4 linked regions of the Arabidopsis thaliana genome follow. The protein of the gene in region 2 interacts with the protein of the main gene of each other region in a pairwise test. Each region holds a gene or a part of one and is shown on either strand. Other genes may lie near its edges.

Region 1 (5,810 bases), 970 kb from region 2:
CACAGGGCCATCCTCAGGTCTATTCAATCCACTAAACCACTATTAGAAATATCACATTAGTCAAAAAGTTATGAATTTTTTCTGTTATTTTATGAGACATCCAAATATCAAATTCGACACGATTCATATTATACATTTCCTTCGAAACAATTAGAACGACTTTTGAAATAAAAACAAATGGGACGAATAGAAAGAAAAAAAAAGAGTGGGGACATTCAATTATTACAACATAAGAAGGGAGCTTTATGAGAGAACAGGAGCCAGATTCAGTTAATTATGTCTACTTCTGGTATTATATTTGTTTTGTTTTTACACAGATTTGTACGAATCATAATCAAAGTCACATCTTATCTCACATTCACATGTTCAAAACTATTCATTTTACCCTGGATTTTCATAGTAACATTTATATTCGTGTCTTCTAATTTGTTTTCATCTCTAATGCCAGCTTGCAAATTTTTTCTTTTTTTTCCTAAGTCAAATTTCTAGATAGCATCCTATATAATGATTAGTGTTATCATTTCGCTCGTGTAGGCTAATTATCGATTTTCTTTTATTTTCAAAGACACATACTCAGTGCTAGAGAGGAGCTATTTGTTTCCGTAATCCTGGGCCTCTGAGAGTTTTGAACAAACATATTGGGCTATAACAAAACCCATTATTAGCGGGCCGTTTATATCTGGATTCTGAAGTCCAGTCCAACTAGCATAGCGAACCAACCGGTCCGTGATTCAATTTAACCGGTTATTGAAAAAGTATCTTATCCAATATTTAGTCTTAACATATTTCATTCTTCTTCCTCCCTATTGATTAATGAAAGAAATTCAGTTTCTAAGAGATCAAAATCCGATTTACACTATTTCTCTTCTCTGATTCTTTCACTTACATTTCCATGAAAATTACCGTTTAATTTCGTGATGAAACAATTTGGAAGGTTTAGCAAAAATGATAATGTTTGTTCTTTATGAAGGAAACTATAATTGTGCAGCATAGTAGTAGTTTGTTGTCTTGTAATGTGAAGAAAATTCCGATTTGCGACAAAATTTATGTAAGTAGATGAAGAAGTGTGAGCGCACGGCTCTTAATAAAAAGCGCGTGGTGCATAGAGAAAATATCTGATAGTGGGTTTGCTTAGCTGTCTGGTCCCTACTTTGGTTGTTGGGCTTAGACGCTACCCTTCTTAACATTCTCATTTCTCAGCTTCTCCAGTACTTATTACGGATTGCCCTTTTTCACAAAGAGTCTTTTTTTTTTTGGGGGTGAATTATACGTAAGTTTAATTTATTTATTATAATTGTAATCAATATTATATTTTAAGTGATAATTTTTTTATAGGAAATGGAAATAAATATCAATTACAAGAAAAAATGTTTTAAATCCTTTTTAATTAATATAGGTTGGTTAGAAGAATTTGGCCCACGACTAATAATCATATGGGCTTTTGAGAAAATATTTTTAAAATTCAACGGTCCAGATTAGACCCAATTTTTGCTGGAAAAATATATATATGAAAAATGGCCCTCATTGATTCAATAATTGTGTGTTTGGATCACTCTTTTGCCTTGAGTTGTCTTTCTCTTTCTTTTCTTCTCCTCTCTATCTTCTCTTTTGTTGTTACTTTTGTTAGTCTTCTTCTTTGTTTCTGAGAAATTATTCAGTTTACTTAGATTTTGTTTAATTCATTCACTTTTTTTCCAGTTTAACTAGATTTATTTATTAAAAGTTTCTGATTAGTTTATGATGTAAGTTCTGCTCCACACAATACCATGCTTTTTCTGGTAATAACCGCTCTCAATTTTTTTTTCCTTTCGAAAATAACAAAATTCGTTTTTTTTTGAGAAAAAAATGAGAAATCAATATTTTAGCAGTTCTCTAGCCCAGAGATCTGAAAGTGAAAAAGCCCATTTGGGGGTTTGGTTGGGTTCATAAACAAGAAGGGTATTTTCGTCATTCCGACTAACTGGTGTTGCCCTAAATTCGTCCGCCGTCTAGTCGGTGACCGCCCGGCGATGAGAAATGAGTTTTTTTTTCTTTTGGGTTTTGTTTGTGGTCGGAATATTTAATTGTCAACTCATTGCAATTTATACTTATTTCATAGCAAATTAATTAGTTATGATTTAGTCTTTAATTAGCTAGGAGTAATCCAGTTTAAGGGCAAGATTCAAAAGTTACGAGGAGCATTCATGAAACCGAGATCCTAGCTGTCTCCACGTGGCAACCGCTGACCTGGCAAAATAAAAAGCGACCAATGAGAGAGTCGAATCCGAAAATAAAGAAACGAAAGAAAACAAAAAATAATGAAAAGTCAGTGTGGGACCCATTCAGACATAGAAATGACTAGTTTGCCTCTCTCACAAAAAAAGGAAAATCATTTTAAAAATCCACATCAATTTTTGTAAAGTTCGTAGGAATTATTAAAAAAATACAAAAATAACACATACACACGACGCCTCACGAACAAACGGCTAAAATAACTCCACGTGGATAACTACGAAGATCTGAGCCATCCGTGGCAGATTTCCGGGGCAGCTAGATCGGTCAGCGTCACCCAACAGATCTGAACCGTAAGATCTAAATTTAACGGTTAGATTTAAACTAAGCGTTATGTCGGTCAGATTCCAATGGCCTTTAAGAAGAGATGATGCCTCCCATCTTCTTCCTCATCATCATCGACCATCTCCCAAAAAACCCTCTTTTCATCCCTTTTTCTGAAGCTCTAAAATTTTTCAGTTCCCCGATCGCCGGAATTTTCGCCGGTGATGTAATTTTCCCGCGCCTTTTTTGGGAGGTGAATTTTTTTTTCTTCTAAAAGCTCGAGAAGAGTGAAAACCCCAGAAATGACCTTGCGATTCGTATGGCTCCGGCTGTTTTCGCTACCTTAAACGAACCGTCGTACCAGGAACAATGCGGCGCCGTTTTTATGAGGAAATTTACAAACCAATCCGTCACCGAAAACACCAATAACCTTCCGCTCTTCAACCCTAACCCTAACCCTAATTTCGAAAGGAGCAATTCGAGCAAGCAGTGCGATGACTCGTCGGAATTTGGAAGCTATGCTACTTTTAATCTCGCTGGGTACACCTCAAGTCAGCTCAGGGAGCTTAAGAAGCGCTTTACCTCAGAGCTCAAGCAGATTCGGATCCTGAGAGAACGGATCGAGTCAGGGACGTTCGAGACTCAGCAAGGTTATACTATCCCAGAGGTACCCGCCGTTCGATCAGCTCCGTTGAATAACTTCACCGGTGAAAAGAATGACCTTGGACCGAAGAAGAAGAAACAGAAGAAAAATGTGTCAGGTCTCAAGCGAAGCAATCAATTTGGTCCGTCGGATCCGGAGTCGGAGAAATTATTGGCCGGTATGTTGAATACCTGTAGTCAGATCTTGGTGAAGCTAATGAAGCATAAATGGGCGTGGGTGTTCAACACTCCTGTTGATGTGGTTGGTTTAGGGCTTCATGATTATCATCAGGTTGTGAAGAAACCTATGGATCTGGGTACAGTGAAATTGAATCTTGATAAAGGATTCTACGTTTCGCCGATTGATTTTGCTACTGATGTCAGATTGACATTCGACAATGCAATGACGTATAATCCAAAGGGACAAGATGTGTATTTTATGGCTGATAAGCTTTTGGATCATTTCGATGGAATGTTCAATCCTGCTTTTAAGAAGTTTGAGGCTCAGCAGCTTAAACTCACTGGTTCTTCATCTCGTCCTGAACCTGACTTCAAACCTGACTTCAAGCAAAGACAGTGGAATCAGAATCCGCCAATGGTGGCGAATCCTAGGAAAGGAACCGAACAAATATCTATTGCGAAGAAGCTTGATTCAGTGAAGCCGCCACAACCTACATTGCCTCCTCAATTAGTCGAGCCGTCACGCGTTCAATCTCCTTCTCCTCCTCCCCCTCCTCCGGTGATACAGCCTGAACTTCCGCAGCCTCAACCACCACCTCCACAGCTTGAAATTGAAGTAGAAGCACCTCCTGATGTGAGTGAAGTGTCAAAAGGAAGGAAGGGGAAGTTGCCGAAGCCTAAGGCTAAGGATCCAAATAAGAGGTTGATGACGATGGAAGAGAAGTCAAAGCTTGGTATGAATCTACAAGACTTGCCTCCTGAGAAGCTTGGTCAGTTGCTTCAGATTCTCAGGAAGAGAAACGGACATTTAGCTCAAGATGGGGACGAAATTGAGCTGGATATAGAAGCTGTCGACAATGAGACTCTATGGGAGCTTGATCGTTTTGTGACGAACTACAAGAAGATGGCTAGCAAAATCAAGCGCCAAGGGTTTATCAGGAACGTGTCAACTCCACCTAGGAACATGGTAAGCAAATTTGCACTGCCTTCCTATCAAAACCACCATTTGATCACTGTGGTTTCAATACTCAAAATTGTTTTCTTCGTCTGTGTCTCTTAGGCTTCGGTAGCAGAAATGGGTAGTGCGGAGAAGAGAACAAGGAGAGGAGATGCAGGGGAAGAGGATGTTGACATTGGAGAGGACATACCAATCGAAGATTATCCATCTGTAGAGATCGAAAGAGATGGTACTGCAGTTGCAGCTGCTGCTAGTAGTGGTTCTAGTTCTTCAGGCAGTTCCAGTTCTAGTGGTGGTAGTTCCTCGTCTAGTGGTATGTTTTCATAAACCCTTTTCCTCTTGCTAGAGGTTTCCCCTATTCTTGTGTCGACTCTAACATTGTAATGATCTGCAGATTCAGGGTCAGGTGGGAGTTCATCAGGTAGTGATTCTGATGCAGATAGTGTTCAATCGCCATTTGTGGAAGCAAAAGAAGCCCAATGTTAAAATCATTTGGGAATTTAACCGTTGATTCTGTCCTGAAGTACTAGGAACGTTTAGCTGAGGGTGTAAAGGGAGGAATGAAGGGGAAAACTGAAGGAAAGGATTTGTTTTTTCTTTCGATGATAAACTTAGGAAGCAGATGTAGTTAGAAAGAAAAATGTAATAGGTAGATAGAAAGAGAGTGCTAGTTTAAGCAAGAAGAAGAGTTCGTTATTTAATACCTTTTAGATTTAGGAGTTGTTTAGTGTATTTGTGAGATGCTGAACAGAGGGTGAGAGTGAGTGGGTAGGTACTGTAGGAGAAGAAGAAGAAGAAAAGAGTCTTTTTAGGTTCTATGACTTTATTTATTTTTCTTTGTTAGTAGTGTTAAAGAGTCTGGTTGTGGTAGGAAAAATGGTGATAGAAGAGAAGAAAGAAATCAATGCAATGTATTAGATGTAAATGGTTGGCATATTAAAAAAGAAAAGTTGATTTTCCATCTTATAAATGTCTTTCAAAGTTTCCAAATGTTGTGAGGATTATATAAGAGTTAAGCAGAAGCAGAGGCAGCCAAGAGTCCATTGTGTCTGAGAAGAGGCTCGGGTGAAGGTTCTCGTCCTCTAAACTCAACAAACACCTGATCATAATTTGGAATCAATTGAGAATGAAATGCAACAAATATTGAAACTATTGTATGAAAACACAATATAGTAGTAGTTAGTAATACCTTAAGAGGCGCTTTCCCTCCTCCAAGTGCAAGTATGGTGTTTCTGAATCTCTGTCCTGTTTCTTTAACAGCCTGTTTGCAACAAAAAATTTCGTAATCTTGTATCTCAACTATTTGTGTCTATAACAGATGTTTTAGGATATACTGATACCTTGATGTCGTCTAGTCCAGCGTCTTCAAATGCTGAAAATGCATCAGCAGACAAAACTTCTGCCCACTGCAAGTTTTTCACATCCAGTTTTTTTAGATATTTGAGTGAGAATTTACAGAGTCGGTTATAGTATAAAGAGATTTTCAAATTTACCT
Region 2 (4,444 bases):
AAGCTGTTGCTGATGCGTTAGCGGCTGAGGAAGAGATTGAGAAAAAGAGTCGTCCTCTTGAGTCTGTGAAAGAGCAAGTGAGTGTTGGACAATCAGCTTCTAATGTGTGTGATTCGTCGATTAGTGATGCATCAGATGTTGTGGGTGTTGAAGATCCAAAGCAGGAATGCTTGAGAGTGTCATCAAGGAAGCAGACTAGTAATAGAGCTTGGAGGCTAGATGATGACCTTCGCCCACAGGGGTTACCTAATTTGGCGAAGCAGCTTAGTTTTCCGGAGTTAGACAAGCGTTTTAGCTCTGTGGCGATTCCGTCTTCATGTCCCATATGCTACGAAGACTTGGACTTGACGGATTCGAATTTCCTCCCCTGTCCTTGTGGATTTCGGCTCTGTCTGTTCTGCCACAAGACCATTTGCGATGGAGATGGGCGTTGTCCAGGCTGCAGGAAACCCTATGAACGGAATATGGTCAAGGCTGAGACTAGTATTCAAGGTGGTGGTCTAACAATTCGGTTGGCTCGTTCGTCTAGCATGTTTTGCAAGTTTTAAAAGGAGAGGTGCGGTTTTCTCAACCATGTTGTCTTTTGGAACTCGAGAACTTAAGCTCTGTTTTCTATGTCATCTATGGTTCTAAGTCTGAAACACTGTGGTGATGATGTAGAATGTGATGTGTGAATACATAAAAGGTGGTACAGAAAATGATTCAAATACATTTAGATAGTTTCAATAATGAATGCTATGTTCTCTTTTCTAATTCCATATGTTTGGTCTGCATTTATTCCTTGTCAAACATTATTGAAGGTTTAAGAGTTATTTTGTTGCTATGGTGAATCCTCTTGACAAGTTACTCATGAACCAAAGCTTGTTTTTTAGAATCACCATTCACCAGAGATCAACTCTCATTACTTCAAATTCTTTTAGGAAACTTCTGATTGTTTATGATTAGCTAACAAAATCATTTATTCACATAAAGTGAGGCTTCTTAACAACTTCTATTAAGCCAGCTTACAAATCTCTTGTAAGGAAAAAAGCTATGACCCCTCTAATGAATATAATATATAATATAGCTTTTGCTCATCTCTATACCATTTACATTACTACTATATGAATAAACCCACTGAATTCAATCAGCGAAAAAGGCCATAGGGGTTGGAAAATTGTATAGGTCATTAAGCTGGCGAGAATCATCAGTGTAGGCTCAAGTGCATTGAGTCTTGAAGCTTCTGTATATGAAAAGGCTTTTTCTAAGATCCAGTCACGGAATTTGCATCGGAGAGCTCAGATCTTTGCGCGTTTGAGCTGCGAGTGAACAGGGTAGACATTCTCTGTTTCTAGCTCTCTCTTCTGAATACTCTTTGTGAAAGACAAATCTTCAACCTTCATTAGAGAATCTCTTAATCTTTTTACATCCGAGAGTTTTACCGGCTTCAGTAAGAAATCTTCAGCCCCTTCTTCAAGACATCTGAATGACAAAATAATAATCACAAGAAAATCAGTTTGAGTAAACTCCAATTTCAATAAAGTTGATGATAGCTTTGGATCAATAAGTTTTTTTTTTGTTGTATATGTAGCAAACAATCATAAAATGGCCAGTTCGTAATTGAGTTGGCCATTGTGTGTAACACAAATACATATTCCTTTTTATTTTATTTGGTCTAGAGGTTTCCTAATATTGTATGCAAAGTGAAAAAGCATGTGAGGTGGCTTTCACAATACCCTACCAAATATTAGGCAAGCAAGATCATGTACTTATTTTATTGTAATATCACATCACCAGAAATAGAATCAAATCCCAAAGTAAAGATTTTGCTGGTTAGAAACATCTTTATACACAAAATCATCTTGGGACCCATTAAAGATCACCAAATCTCAACATTTGTTTAATTATGCAATATCCACCACCAAAAATGGTTTAAGGAAATTAACTTTTAACCATATGAGCAGGAACTTTACTTTGTGATCTAATCCCTTTTTGTTTTATCTAATTCTTTTTTTGATCATCTAAGACAAAGATATTCACCAAATTTACTATAGTTTGACTTAAGATTATGATGAAGTTTTATACCTATCAATACGAGGCAAAATGTTCTCGGAGGACATAATTACCACCGGTACTTCTCTAAAAGCTGAGGATTCCTGTGGAAAATCACGTAAAAAAGGATTAGATAAACATAAAACTCAAATTCCATTGACTAATTATATCATTATATGTTTGTTTGCTTACTTTGATCTTCTTCAAGAGTTCATATCCAGTCATACCGGGCATTGAGTAATCAGTCATAATTAAATTAACCTTCAAATCCTGAAGCACAAATCACGATTTAACATATTGCTTGAGAGCTACGGCAAAATTTTGTTTTCTCTTGGAAATTGTTTTATACCTCAAAACCGACTGATTTTTCCTCAACATCCAAACCAAGGTATTGGAGAGCTCTTGTTGCACTATCAACAACAGTAACTGAACAACCAAAACAGAGCTTTTTACTCAGATAACTTGCCCGAATTCAGAGACTGATTTTTCAAAATATGAGTAATAATTACCTTTGCAAGAAGATACTCTGAGCAAACGCTCGATGAATTTACGATCAACGTGACTGTCGTCGACGGCAAGAACATGAAGAGGATCCGGTGATCCAAACTTTGAAGAATGGTTGAGAATCTCCATCTTCCTCGGTAGCATAACTTCAGCCATTGATCAACGAATGTTGGAGGATTTGGAAGAAAAAGGAAGAGAAAGATATGATGTGAAACCATGGTGGCAGTGGTTGGGCCATTTATATAAGTAGAAAGAAAGAAAGAAAGAAATAAAAGAGGGAAAAAATATGAATGAAATCGAGAGATTTTGCATATCTTTAAGATTTTGTCAATTTGCTTTCAAAATCTTTATTTTATATTTTATATAAATAATAGTTCGGTGGATTTTTATTATTAAATAAGTTAAAACAAAAAACCGAAATAAAGTCAAACCAATCGGTTCAAGTTTAGTCAAAACGAAGAACAAACCAGAAAATTTGGAATGGGATGCAAGATTTAACCGACCCAAACCGATATTCAATAACTTGTAGAATTCTTTTTTTATTTTTAAATTATTTGTGTGTGTTTGTAGTTTTTTTTGGTAAAAGTGTGTTTGTAGTTGAATTGTGGAAGTTCACGCATTTAACTTCTACACTTCAATACTTCATCTACGTAGAAGTTCACTTTGAGGTTTTGACTTAAGCTCAAGACAGAAAAATGTGAAATCAAGAAATCATAAACTAATACTAAAACATTACACGCATCCTTAATCTACAATTAGTAAAACCTCTTTAGATTACCACCTTTTCATTCACCAAAAATATAACAAATTAATACTAAAGGCCCGGCCCATATGATTTGGCCCAGAAGAGACTTTAAGTTTCCTAATACAGTTAACGGTTTACTCAGTGAACCGGAGGGAGACAGCGAGATGAGGCCGGAGATAGTTCTGTTCGGCGACTCGATCACGGCGCAGTCTTTTAGGTCCGGCGGTTGGGGATCTGCTCTTGCCGACGCTTACTCTCGCAAGGCTGATGTTGTGGTTCGAGGCTACGGCGGCTACAACACCCGATGGGCTCTCTTCTTGCTTCATCACATCTTCCCTCTCGTCAGTACTTTTTATCTCTCTCTCCCTCCCTCGAGTCTACAAATGTTGATTTGAAATTTGATCTAAACACGAACGAATTTTGGTAGTCATTGGGATGATTTTGTTCATGAGCTGTTGTGATTGTGTGTATGATCTGTGTGGATATAGATCTTGAGTTATTGTCTCTTGTGCATCATTTTTTGTTTTGCTTATGCTTGTTATGGTTCAGTTCTGAATGGTTTTGATATGATTCTAGGATGTGTTGGTTTTATGACATTGTCATGGATTGGTTGAAGTACGAAAGATTTAGATTTGAATTTTGAGATGGTAAAAGGCAATTACATCTGCATATATCATGAGAACTCTTCTTGTAGTGCGTGTTGTTTTGGTGTGCCTATCTCAGTATGTGTTCTACTCTGTCTTTTTGCCTAGGGCTCTTCGTCTCCTCCTGTTGCTACGACGATATTCTTCGGTGCAAACGATGCAGCTCTCAAAGGAAGAACCAGTGATAGACAACATGTGCCGGTGGAAGAGTACACAGATAATGTCAGAAAGATTGTTCAGCATTTGAAGGTTTTGATATGCTTCTTTGATCCACTCTAATGCATGGACTTACTTTTCTTGAAGTGTGATTCCTTTAAAGACTAATGACTCTGTTTTGTAGAAATGTTCACCTACAATGCTAATTGTGCTTATAACTCCACCACCAATTGATGAAGCTGGACGTCAAAGTTATGCAGAGTAGGCTTTATTATGATCCTTTTCTTCTTTGCATTTTTGTTTCTCAAAGCATTTAGTCCGACATGTTTCTTAAATGAGCCAGTGATTGTGTTACATCAGATCA
Region 3 (4,524 bases), on a different chromosome or scaffold from region 2:
CAATTTTTACATTCCATAAAATACAAACAAAACTTGAATTTCCATAGACTTCAGAGCTTGAAAGTCTCTCGTATAACAAAGAGGTAAAACAAATAAACTTTGGCTATGTTTTTTTTTTTTTTGCGTTGAATAAGTGTGTTAATAATAAAAGGAAAACTTGATCAAATATATTTTGTCTTTCTATTTTCACAAATGCTTTTTTTTTTGGTGTTTTCTAAAAATCTAAGTAACAGTGTTATTAATGGAGAAAATAAATGAGAAGAAGGGTTATGTTTAGATTGTTTCCTGTGTAAATGTAAAATCAAACATATAAATTAAACACGAGCAGGAAATTAAATAAATAGAGCTGACCTGTCTTGTCTGTGTAACTGCTGAAAGTTTTGAAGAGACTGAAGGCAGAAGTAATGATGGCAATATCAATAACATATATGGAGTCATCATTAATTAAATAGTAATTTAATTACTCTCTTATTAGTCATAAAAATCAGCCAACACCACTTGTCGTGCGTTTTTATTTATGTTTGACTGACAGATGAAATTAATGAGAAAGTTAATTATCTTTTGGTATCACATTGGGAAAAAGGAACAATAAATGAAGGAGGGAGGCATGGAATGGGAATGCATGTTGGATTCGCAGACAACTCAAAATCCATGCAGTGTTTAGGGCTTTTAGGTTCTCTGTAACCTATCTATACGACACCGTATCTCTGCCCCCTCCTGATTCCATACCCATTTTGAGCCCACCGCCTTATTCTCCCCCCACCTCACACTCGCCCATTCGCGCGTATCTATTCTTTCACGCTTACCTATTATTCCAACATCCTCATAATCACATTTTAACAATAACCCATTGAAGAATAATAATTCATTTCATTCTTTAAGAAAGTTTGGTTTGTAACTAGGTTATATAATTTTACCCAATAAAGGTTATAGAATGGTTTAAAACTACTAAGAAAAACATAATTTAGCTGATCTTTTCTCAAAAAAAAAAAAATAGTTGTCATAATCGAATGCCAATGATGAAACATATTCACCATAAAGCTAACTTAAAGAACCTTTTCTAACCAACAAGTTAACAAGTGATGGTGAATTTGGAGAGTGGGTGAGATTTGTTTTAAGGATATAATTCCATGTTAAAATGGGAAGTACAATTATATGGTTTGATATACAGTACTACAAATTATGCTTTAAGAGTACTAATATTAAAGCGAAGCTGCATTATTTTTGAGATACGTAGGACCCCAATGGTCAGAGGGAGAAGTAAAGTTATGATGATAACAATAAGGCATGATATGATGATGATGTTCATAATGATACTGATGATGATGATGATTTATTAATTATTATGATATGATATCATTATTTGATCACCCTCACGAGCGCGTGGATTTTACCGTCTGGTCGCTGCTTTTTTAATCCTCTCAATCAGTCAACGGTCAACGAGCGAGAAAGCCGCTTTCGTAATGAAAGCCACATTACAAAAAGCCAATTATGCTTGTTTGTGTGTTTTTGAAAAAGAGCTTCTTTTACATTTTCTTTACTTTGAAACTCGGGTACACAAAATCTCTACTCAATTATATTGTCAACTACTAATCTTTAGTATCTTTTAAAGTAGAAACTCAGCTTTTATCTATATTTAGTAAAACCTCACATGAATGGATTTGGGTGAATGAGTTTATCATATGTATAAGAATCTAATATAATATTTGAAAAACGCTCATAGGTTATTTTGTAATTAAGAATAGTGACAACTTACAATATACCAAACGGAAAATGATAGAGAAAGAACAAGAGACTTGGACTTTTTTTTTTCTTATAATAAATCAATTAACCATGGTTGAAAAGGGATGTGAGGTGAAAGTAATAACTCCTGGTTTTAATTTTAACCATGGTTAAGTTAAAATAAAGAGAGAAGGAAGCAGGTTTTTATGCAGTATATATCATCATTGAGGTAACAGAGGTCTCTCTGACACAAGTCATCATTGAAACCCTAAGCCTCCCCACAACCCCATATCTCTTTGTCTGAAAAAACTCTTTTGCATATATAAATAAATATAAGCCATATCTTTTGAAACTGTACTGCTGCACAAGTGTAGAGGCAGTGGCACAACATCTTTAAGAAAGAGAGAGAGAAAGAGTCATTTATTCATTTCCTCGCTTAAAAATCTTGAGCACCCAGACAGAATTCTTCTTTCTTCTTTCTGGGGTTGAGAAAAATGAGTGAAAGAGATGATGGATTGGGGCTAAGTTTGAGCTTGAGTTTAGGTTTTAATCAAAAGGACCCGTCTTCGAGGTTAAATCCAATGCCTCTGGCTTCTTATGCATCTTCATCACACATGCAGCATATGCAGCAGAGCAATTATAACCATCCTCAAAAGATTCAGAACACTTGGATTAACATGTTTCAGTCATCAGGTATTTACCTCCTTTTACTAATCCAGATTCATGTCTAAGATTATAGGTTTCTTTGTTTTAGATCCGATCTTTTTATTACACTTTATCCTATAATAGATAAAATTTTCTTGATATGTTTGTGATTTTTAATCATTTGGCGTGATTAACGTAACGTGCAGAGAGAAACTCGGACATGAGATCGTTTCTCCGGGGAATAGACGTGAACAGAGCTCCATCGACGGTGGTGGTTGACGTGGAGGATGAAGGCGCCGGAGTTTCGTCTCCGAACAGCACCGTCTCAAGCGTGATGAGCGGGAAGAAGAGCGAGCGAGAGCTAATGGCTGCGGCAGGTGCAGTTGGAGGAGGTAGAGTAGAAGATAATGAGATTGAGAGAGCTTCTTGCTCGCTCGGCGGTGGTAGCGACGATGAAGACGGTAGCGGGAACGGAGATGACAGTTCGAGGAAGAAACTCCGATTGTCTAAAGAACAAGCTTTGGTTCTTGAAGAAACTTTTAAAGAACATAGTACACTCAATCCGGTCAGTGGCATTTCCGTAGTTTTCTTCAATAGGTTGACTTTTTATATGTTTTTCATTGACTTTTTTTGTTGTTGTTGGATGCAGAAGCAAAAGATGGCTTTGGCTAAGCAATTGAATCTGAGGACGAGACAAGTTGAAGTGTGGTTCCAAAACCGAAGGGCAAGGTAGAAATTTTTATTCTATTTTAAGGGGTTACTTTCGTAAATTTTATATAGTCCAACAAATAAAACATTAGTAGTTATTGCTATGATGGTGATATGTGTAATGGTCCATTTTATGACCCATAAGATTATCCTAAAGGATTTTAATGGGTCTCTCATGTCTTAAATTAGGAGGTTTGGTTTAAGCTATTCAGTTTTCCCGGTTTAAGAATTAAAACCGCCAATGTTGTTTTTGAGTCAAATTTTGGTTAAAGTGTTTTCAGTTTTCCGGTTCAAGAACAATAACCGCCAGTTTCGAATACAAGAAACAAATGTACTTCGGGTTTTCTCTTTCCCGGATAGTTAAACCGGATATCGGATTTTAATGTTTTGGACTGTTTGTGTGTGTGTTTATAGGACGAAGCTGAAGCAAACGGAAGTAGACTGTGAATATCTTAAGAGATGTTGCGAGAATCTAACGGATGAGAATCGGAGATTGCAAAAGGAAGTGAGTGAGCTTAGGGCTTTAAAGCTTTCTCCACACTTATACATGCACATGAAACCTCCCACTACTCTCACAATGTGTCCTTCTTGCGAGCGAGTCGCTGTTACGTCATCTTCGTCATCGGTGGCTCCTCCTGTGATGAATTCATCGTCTCCGATGGGTCCGATGAGTCCGTGGGCTGCCATGCCTCTACGGCAACGACCTGCTGCTGGTTCTCATTAGAGTTTAATTAGTCTAAAGATAATAGGTTTGGTGATTTGTTTTTATTATATTGTTGAACGGACTTGGAAGTTCTTTTCAAGAGTTGGTCCCATGCTCTTCTTTCCTTTGTTTTATTCAGTTTCTATTTATAGCTGAATTCTGGATAATGGAAAATCTACTAATATTATTGTCCAATTATTAGTTTGGGGAAAGATAAGAGGTTCTATCATTCTTTATTGTTATATATTTTGATTACATCATATCTGTTTTTCACCAAATCCAGAGTTCTATTTTAAGGCCATCGAATCATAATAACGAATGGTGCATAAACTAATTTTCAAGAGCGTCATTTATTAAAGTTGTAATTGTTTAATTGGGGTTTTCTTTCTTTTGCTTGGAACTTAAGAAAGGGATTTGTAAAGATGATTATTAATTACAGTAGAAGATTAGTTAGAAGTATAAAGTAAAAAGAAGCAATGAAAGGTGTTATGATTGATGGAGCAAGCGTGTGTTGTTTGCATATGTAATAAGTAAATGTTAGCCAATACGAATATCGAGACATGTACGTGACATAACATAGCATTTGGTATGTATATGGAGATATTTGGGTCCACATAGACGAAGTCAGACCATTAGAATCTCTTGCAGAACACTGAAGATACGATATTTTTTTCTTCCCTTATGTCAAAAGATCTCAACCGACAGAGAAAGAGAAAATGAGAGGTACGACCAAGATATCTCTCGGT
Region 4 (4,408 bases), on a different chromosome or scaffold from region 2:
AACTGTTGGTTTAGGACTGTCATAATTGTTGAAGATGTTTCTAGCCTTTTGATCGCAATTTTGGGAATGTTATTTCATATTTTGTTAAAATATGTTTAGTGAGAGCACTAAATGGCTTGAAATGTTTTGGATATTGGACATAGCAATTCGATTATCTGAGTGTAGTTGAATTTGTTCTATTTTTAGTTTTTACGTTCTTTTTTGGTGTGGAGGAATTTTTGATTAAAAAGACATAATTGACATGGAAGAAAATTTGCGTTAAAAAAACAAGGAAGAAAATTAGCGACACTTTGGTTAGATCAGCGAATAAGCCCATGGGCTATACCTTAGCTAGGCCCATTATTACTTTATTTAAGATGTATGTGATGGACATCACTTTATTTTGATGTTTTTCTTTTGCATGGATAAAAGCCATAAAACAGTTATCACTTTGGGCTCTAAATAGTACAACTGTACAAGTTTAGCTAGTTTTAAACAATTTTCCATTTCAGTTGTTTGAATTACATCATGAAATTAGAATTCTATTCCCTAATAAAAATCATGCTATACAAGACTTAGAAACTTTACCCTATATATTACTTTATATTTATCTCCAGTCCAGTCCTACATTGAGACATTTTAACAAAGTATAGATTCGAATCTTGCTGATATAGTTGGTAGGCCAATAACAATTCAACAAATTATATTCTTTGTTTTCTTGGCAGTTTCATAAATTATATCCATGTATGTAATAACATAAATAAAACAAAATGACGTCAAACGACAAACAAAAAAACAAAAAAAAACTGTTACTAAAGTAATATAACTGTGTTTGGTTCATGAATGTGACATTATCAACAACACACACCCCGAAGAAAACGGCAAATTACTGGAAAAGTCTTACCAAAAAAAAAGATAGAAAAAGCATATGAGATACACTTAACCTTAACCCAATAACCATTCTGTTTAAACTTTTCAAAAGACACATCTAAACTATCTTAAGCTTGAAGTCGTCTTCACTTCTGAATCTGATCAAGTCTTGACCAAAACAACACAGAGACTACCTGTTGTTTTACATCATACAACAACAAAAACGACAAGTCGTTTCCCCCAAAAAGAGCAAAAAAACATGTACACACTAATTCAAACTTAAAAACTCACTTGATTCTGATCAAAGTATCTAATTAGCCTAATTCTCAAATTTCAAATTAATCATCATCCAGATCTTATCTTATACAATATAAATTAATTAAAACATTATCTTCTTCATCAAGCCACTCCCATTATACTATCTCCATTACTCGACATCGCCTCGAACCCCGAGGAGGCACGTGAGCCACGTGCCTTCTGTTCATTGGACGATGACGATGTCGACGAAGACGGCCTCTGCAAATTCAGCGACAGCGGAAACATCTCCGTTGTCGCTGGAGTTTTTTTCTTGTTAAGATTCAAATCAGCCATCTTCCGCGACGGTGGAATCGGAATAGGAATCGGAACTGGACGGATTAGCTCCAATGGAGTCTGTAACTGATTCTCTTCTTTTGATGATCCTATAAACTGTTGACATATCGAACCTTATGTGTTAGTATAATCTTACAGATTCTTGATTTTAATTATAGATTTTAAAGAATGAAACGTTACCGAATCGGGAGTGATATCGAAGAGGCTTGATCTACGACGACGACGATTCTGATTAGTCCGCCGGAGAAAATATTTCTGAGCATGACTCGCTACCTGAGTAGGTGTTCGAGTTTTAACAAAGTTTCTAGAGATTCCTCTCCAATCACCTTTTCCAACTTTATGCAATCCAGTAAGAAACAATCTATGTTCTTCCTCTGTCCATGGAGTTCCTAAATTCCAAATTTGCAAGAAAGTTTCAAAAACAAGAAACAAAAACAGAGATGAGATTTGGGAAAGAGAGAAGAAAGGTTATTTTATTAACCTCGTTTGCGTTCACGGTTTCTACCGGAGGCGTGAACGACGTCGTCTGAAGCGTAACCACCGTCATCGGTTGGGTTGGGATCAGGAGTTTGATCGAATTGAGAGAGATTGTTCATACTAACACTTTTTCTAAAACAAGATGATGAAGCTTCCGTGACGCGGACGCCAAAAAGCATGATGGCTTTCTCCCCGCCGCCTTTGTCGTTGTTGTCACCGGTGGTAGTTATGTCCGTCGGACATGTGCGAGAGTTGTGGCCGTTGTTTCCACACTGTGAGCAACTACGTGACATCTTCTTCCCGAGCCAGAGAAAGAGAGAGAGAGAGAGAGAGATTTTGGAATGAAAAAGGTAAAGAGAAGAAGAAAAGAGAGGTTTAGGTTTGTTATAAATGGGAATGATTCTGCTTCTTTTTTTTATGTCTGTTTTTGAGAGCTCACCACAAAAACATTTGACCTTTATTACTTCTCTGTTTTAAATCTCAAATGACTCTGTTTTGTCCAATTATAATATTTTCTTTTGTCCATCTTAGTTTCTATTTTCATTGGCCCAAAGAAAACAAAAAATCTCCCTTTTCATTGACCTAGTTTGTGATCACTTTTTTTAATTGGTAACCTCAATAACGGTTAGAAAGAAATAATCGACGGTTATTATTTGAATTTACCACTTCTAAGCACTTGTTTGCCATTAGCCACTTCCCTAGTTAATATCACCATGGAGTCGAAGCGTGGCCAGTTTTGGATCGTTAGAAAGAAAAATATGGATAGGTTGTCGTTACGTATATAAGTATTTTAAATTTTGTGGCCAATTGCAAGGTTCGTGGACTTTTGTGAATAGTTTCATGAAATGTTTAGTGCTGCAAGTTACGAGAAATCCGAGTGGATGAAGTTTCTCTTGTCGGCGAGTGTATGAAGTTTCGGAGAAGATTGCTGTAGCTTTTTAATTTTCACGATTAACGAAACAACTTTGCATCAAAACGATAGCCAGAAAAAAATAAAGGAGGAAAGCTGGACCGTTCGATGTATCTGACTCTTGCTGTTTGTGATATAGTATAATTTAATTAAAACCTGTAACATTATTCAAAATAACTAAATTTTCATTTTGTTCATTGGGATAAGATATAATCTTGTTATTGATTTTTTTTTTTTTAATACTGTTTTCTTTTGTCTTATAGTACAATTTTGTTTTTTTTTATATAACCCAAAATATCGACTGTCCACGTAGCTCTGAGTGGATGATAGATTGAAGAATCTTTGGTTCCAACTAACATATAAAACTACGACCATTCAATTTTCATTATATGTTTCTTATTTACCCTTTATCTTTGTTGGTGACAATTATTGATAGGGACGACTATGATTAAATATTCAAATGCAATTTTAGATGCTTTATTGGAATTACTGACTATAGAAGCAACTGCGTGTCAAATTTCAGTGTTAGATTTACCAAGAAGGCACAGACACGTTTTCCTCACTTGAATTGAAATTGTCCCAAATTTTATCATTATTCATCGAAATCATAATAAAGATTCGATGCGTTTACTTTTTCAGTTAAAAGCAAACACCCAAAAATTGATATTGTTGGTGTACACATGACCCGCTTGAGAGCACTAACCCATGGTATAGGAGCATTACGCCAAACTTCTTCTTTTTTTTGTTTGTTCTGTTACTTGGGACATGCATGTTTGAAAAGCAAATATGGTTATAATTCAACAATTTTTTTAAAAGGCAGCCTATCTAATTTACTTTTTACAGTAATTTTAACTTAATGTTAAATTGGCATTAACTTTACTTAATTCTTACAGTGGTTAGCATCGATAAACTATAAGCAAAGATATAAACAAAGAGCATCGTATGTGTAGTGTACGTGCATAGGTAACCTTCTGTCAAAGATGTTCTGTGATTGGTTGATAGTGATATAGCATATGAAAGCCTCCATTCACATTTTTTTTTTTGGACATCCAATACATTTATATAATATTCGTTTTTAGCGATTAAAAGATATAAAATATTGTTATATAATATCAAAAACGGAAAGGATGAGCAGGTTTGGTCCGTTGGGTATTTCGAAGATGCATTACATAACTAGTGGAAAATGTCTTTTCTTTCTTAGTTTGCCAATAACAGAAAATGCCTATACTTCTGTGACAATCAATCAATAGACACCATACACAATCATATATCTTTCTCCAATTAAACAAAAACATGTCCGTAGTAACAAATTTATGTCGGGTTAAAGATATTTTCTTAGGTGAAGGTTTGTATTTATTAATGTATATAACTTAGATTGTTGTATATAAACTTAGTTTGGTTAGTATAGATTTCATATAGAGTCTGTAAAGGTTGGTATTTTATAAACCAATCTTAATTTTGGTTTAGAGGCTTATGGTTTAGGCCAATGTCAGTTTGTATATAAACCCCCAATTGTACTCTTTTGCTAATTAATGAGAATGAGATTGTTTTACTAATATGGTATCAGAGCAAAATATCTCG

What was found.
Region 1: the proteins of ARR6 (region 2) and GTE7 interact in a two-hybrid assay, tested with the Arabidopsis thaliana proteins (one large-scale study listed by BioGRID).
Region 3: the proteins of ARR6 (region 2) and HAT3 interact in a two-hybrid assay, tested with the Arabidopsis thaliana proteins (one large-scale study listed by BioGRID).
Region 4: the proteins of ARR6 (region 2) and AT1G70000 interact in a two-hybrid assay, tested with the Arabidopsis thaliana proteins (one large-scale study listed by BioGRID).

Annotation. Positions count from the first base shown.
Region 1 is NC_003076.8:26,225,302-26,231,111, reverse strand, and holds GTE7 (global transcription factor group E7), read left to right. Parts: upstream 1-1,537; 5' UTR 1,538-2,854; coding exon 2,855-4,324; intron 4,325-4,417; coding exon 4,418-4,628; intron 4,629-4,709; coding exon 4,710-4,801; 3' UTR 4,802-5,280; downstream 5,281-5,810. Other genes in the region: AT5G65620 (Zincin-like metalloproteases family protein), read right to left, coding at 5,328-5,414, 5,505-5,576, 5,656-5,721, 5,809-5,810.
Region 2 is NC_003076.8:25,251,468-25,255,911, forward strand, and holds ARR6 (response regulator 6), read right to left. Parts: upstream 2,852-4,444; 5' UTR 2,692-2,851; coding exon 2,541-2,691; intron 2,458-2,540; coding exon 2,381-2,457; intron 2,302-2,380; coding exon 2,224-2,301; intron 2,136-2,223; coding exon 2,065-2,135; intron 1,462-2,064; coding exon 1,278-1,461; 3' UTR 549-1,277; downstream 1-548. Other genes in the region: AT5G62910 (RING/U-box superfamily protein), read left to right, coding at 1-548; AT5G62930 (SGNH hydrolase-type esterase superfamily protein), read left to right, coding at 3,367-3,621, 4,033-4,173, 4,265-4,341, 4,441-4,444. UniProt on the Arabidopsis thaliana protein: Functions as a response regulator involved in His-to-Asp phosphorelay signal transduction system. Phosphorylation of the Asp residue in the receiver domain activates the ability of the protein to promote the transcription of target genes.
Region 3 is NC_003074.8:22,320,063-22,324,586, reverse strand, and holds HAT3 (homeobox-leucine zipper protein 3), read left to right. Parts: upstream 1-1,925; 5' UTR 1,926-2,216; coding exon 2,217-2,415; intron 2,416-2,573; coding exon 2,574-2,932; intron 2,933-3,016; coding exon 3,017-3,096; intron 3,097-3,489; coding exon 3,490-3,799; 3' UTR 3,800-4,007; downstream 4,008-4,524. UniProt on the Arabidopsis thaliana protein: Probable transcription factor.
Region 4 is NC_003070.9:26,362,426-26,366,833, forward strand, and holds AT1G70000 (myb-like transcription factor family protein), read right to left. Parts: upstream 2,454-4,408; 5' UTR 2,211-2,453; coding exon 1,922-2,210; intron 1,830-1,921; coding exon 1,621-1,829; intron 1,537-1,620; coding exon 1,249-1,536; 3' UTR 554-1,248; downstream 1-553.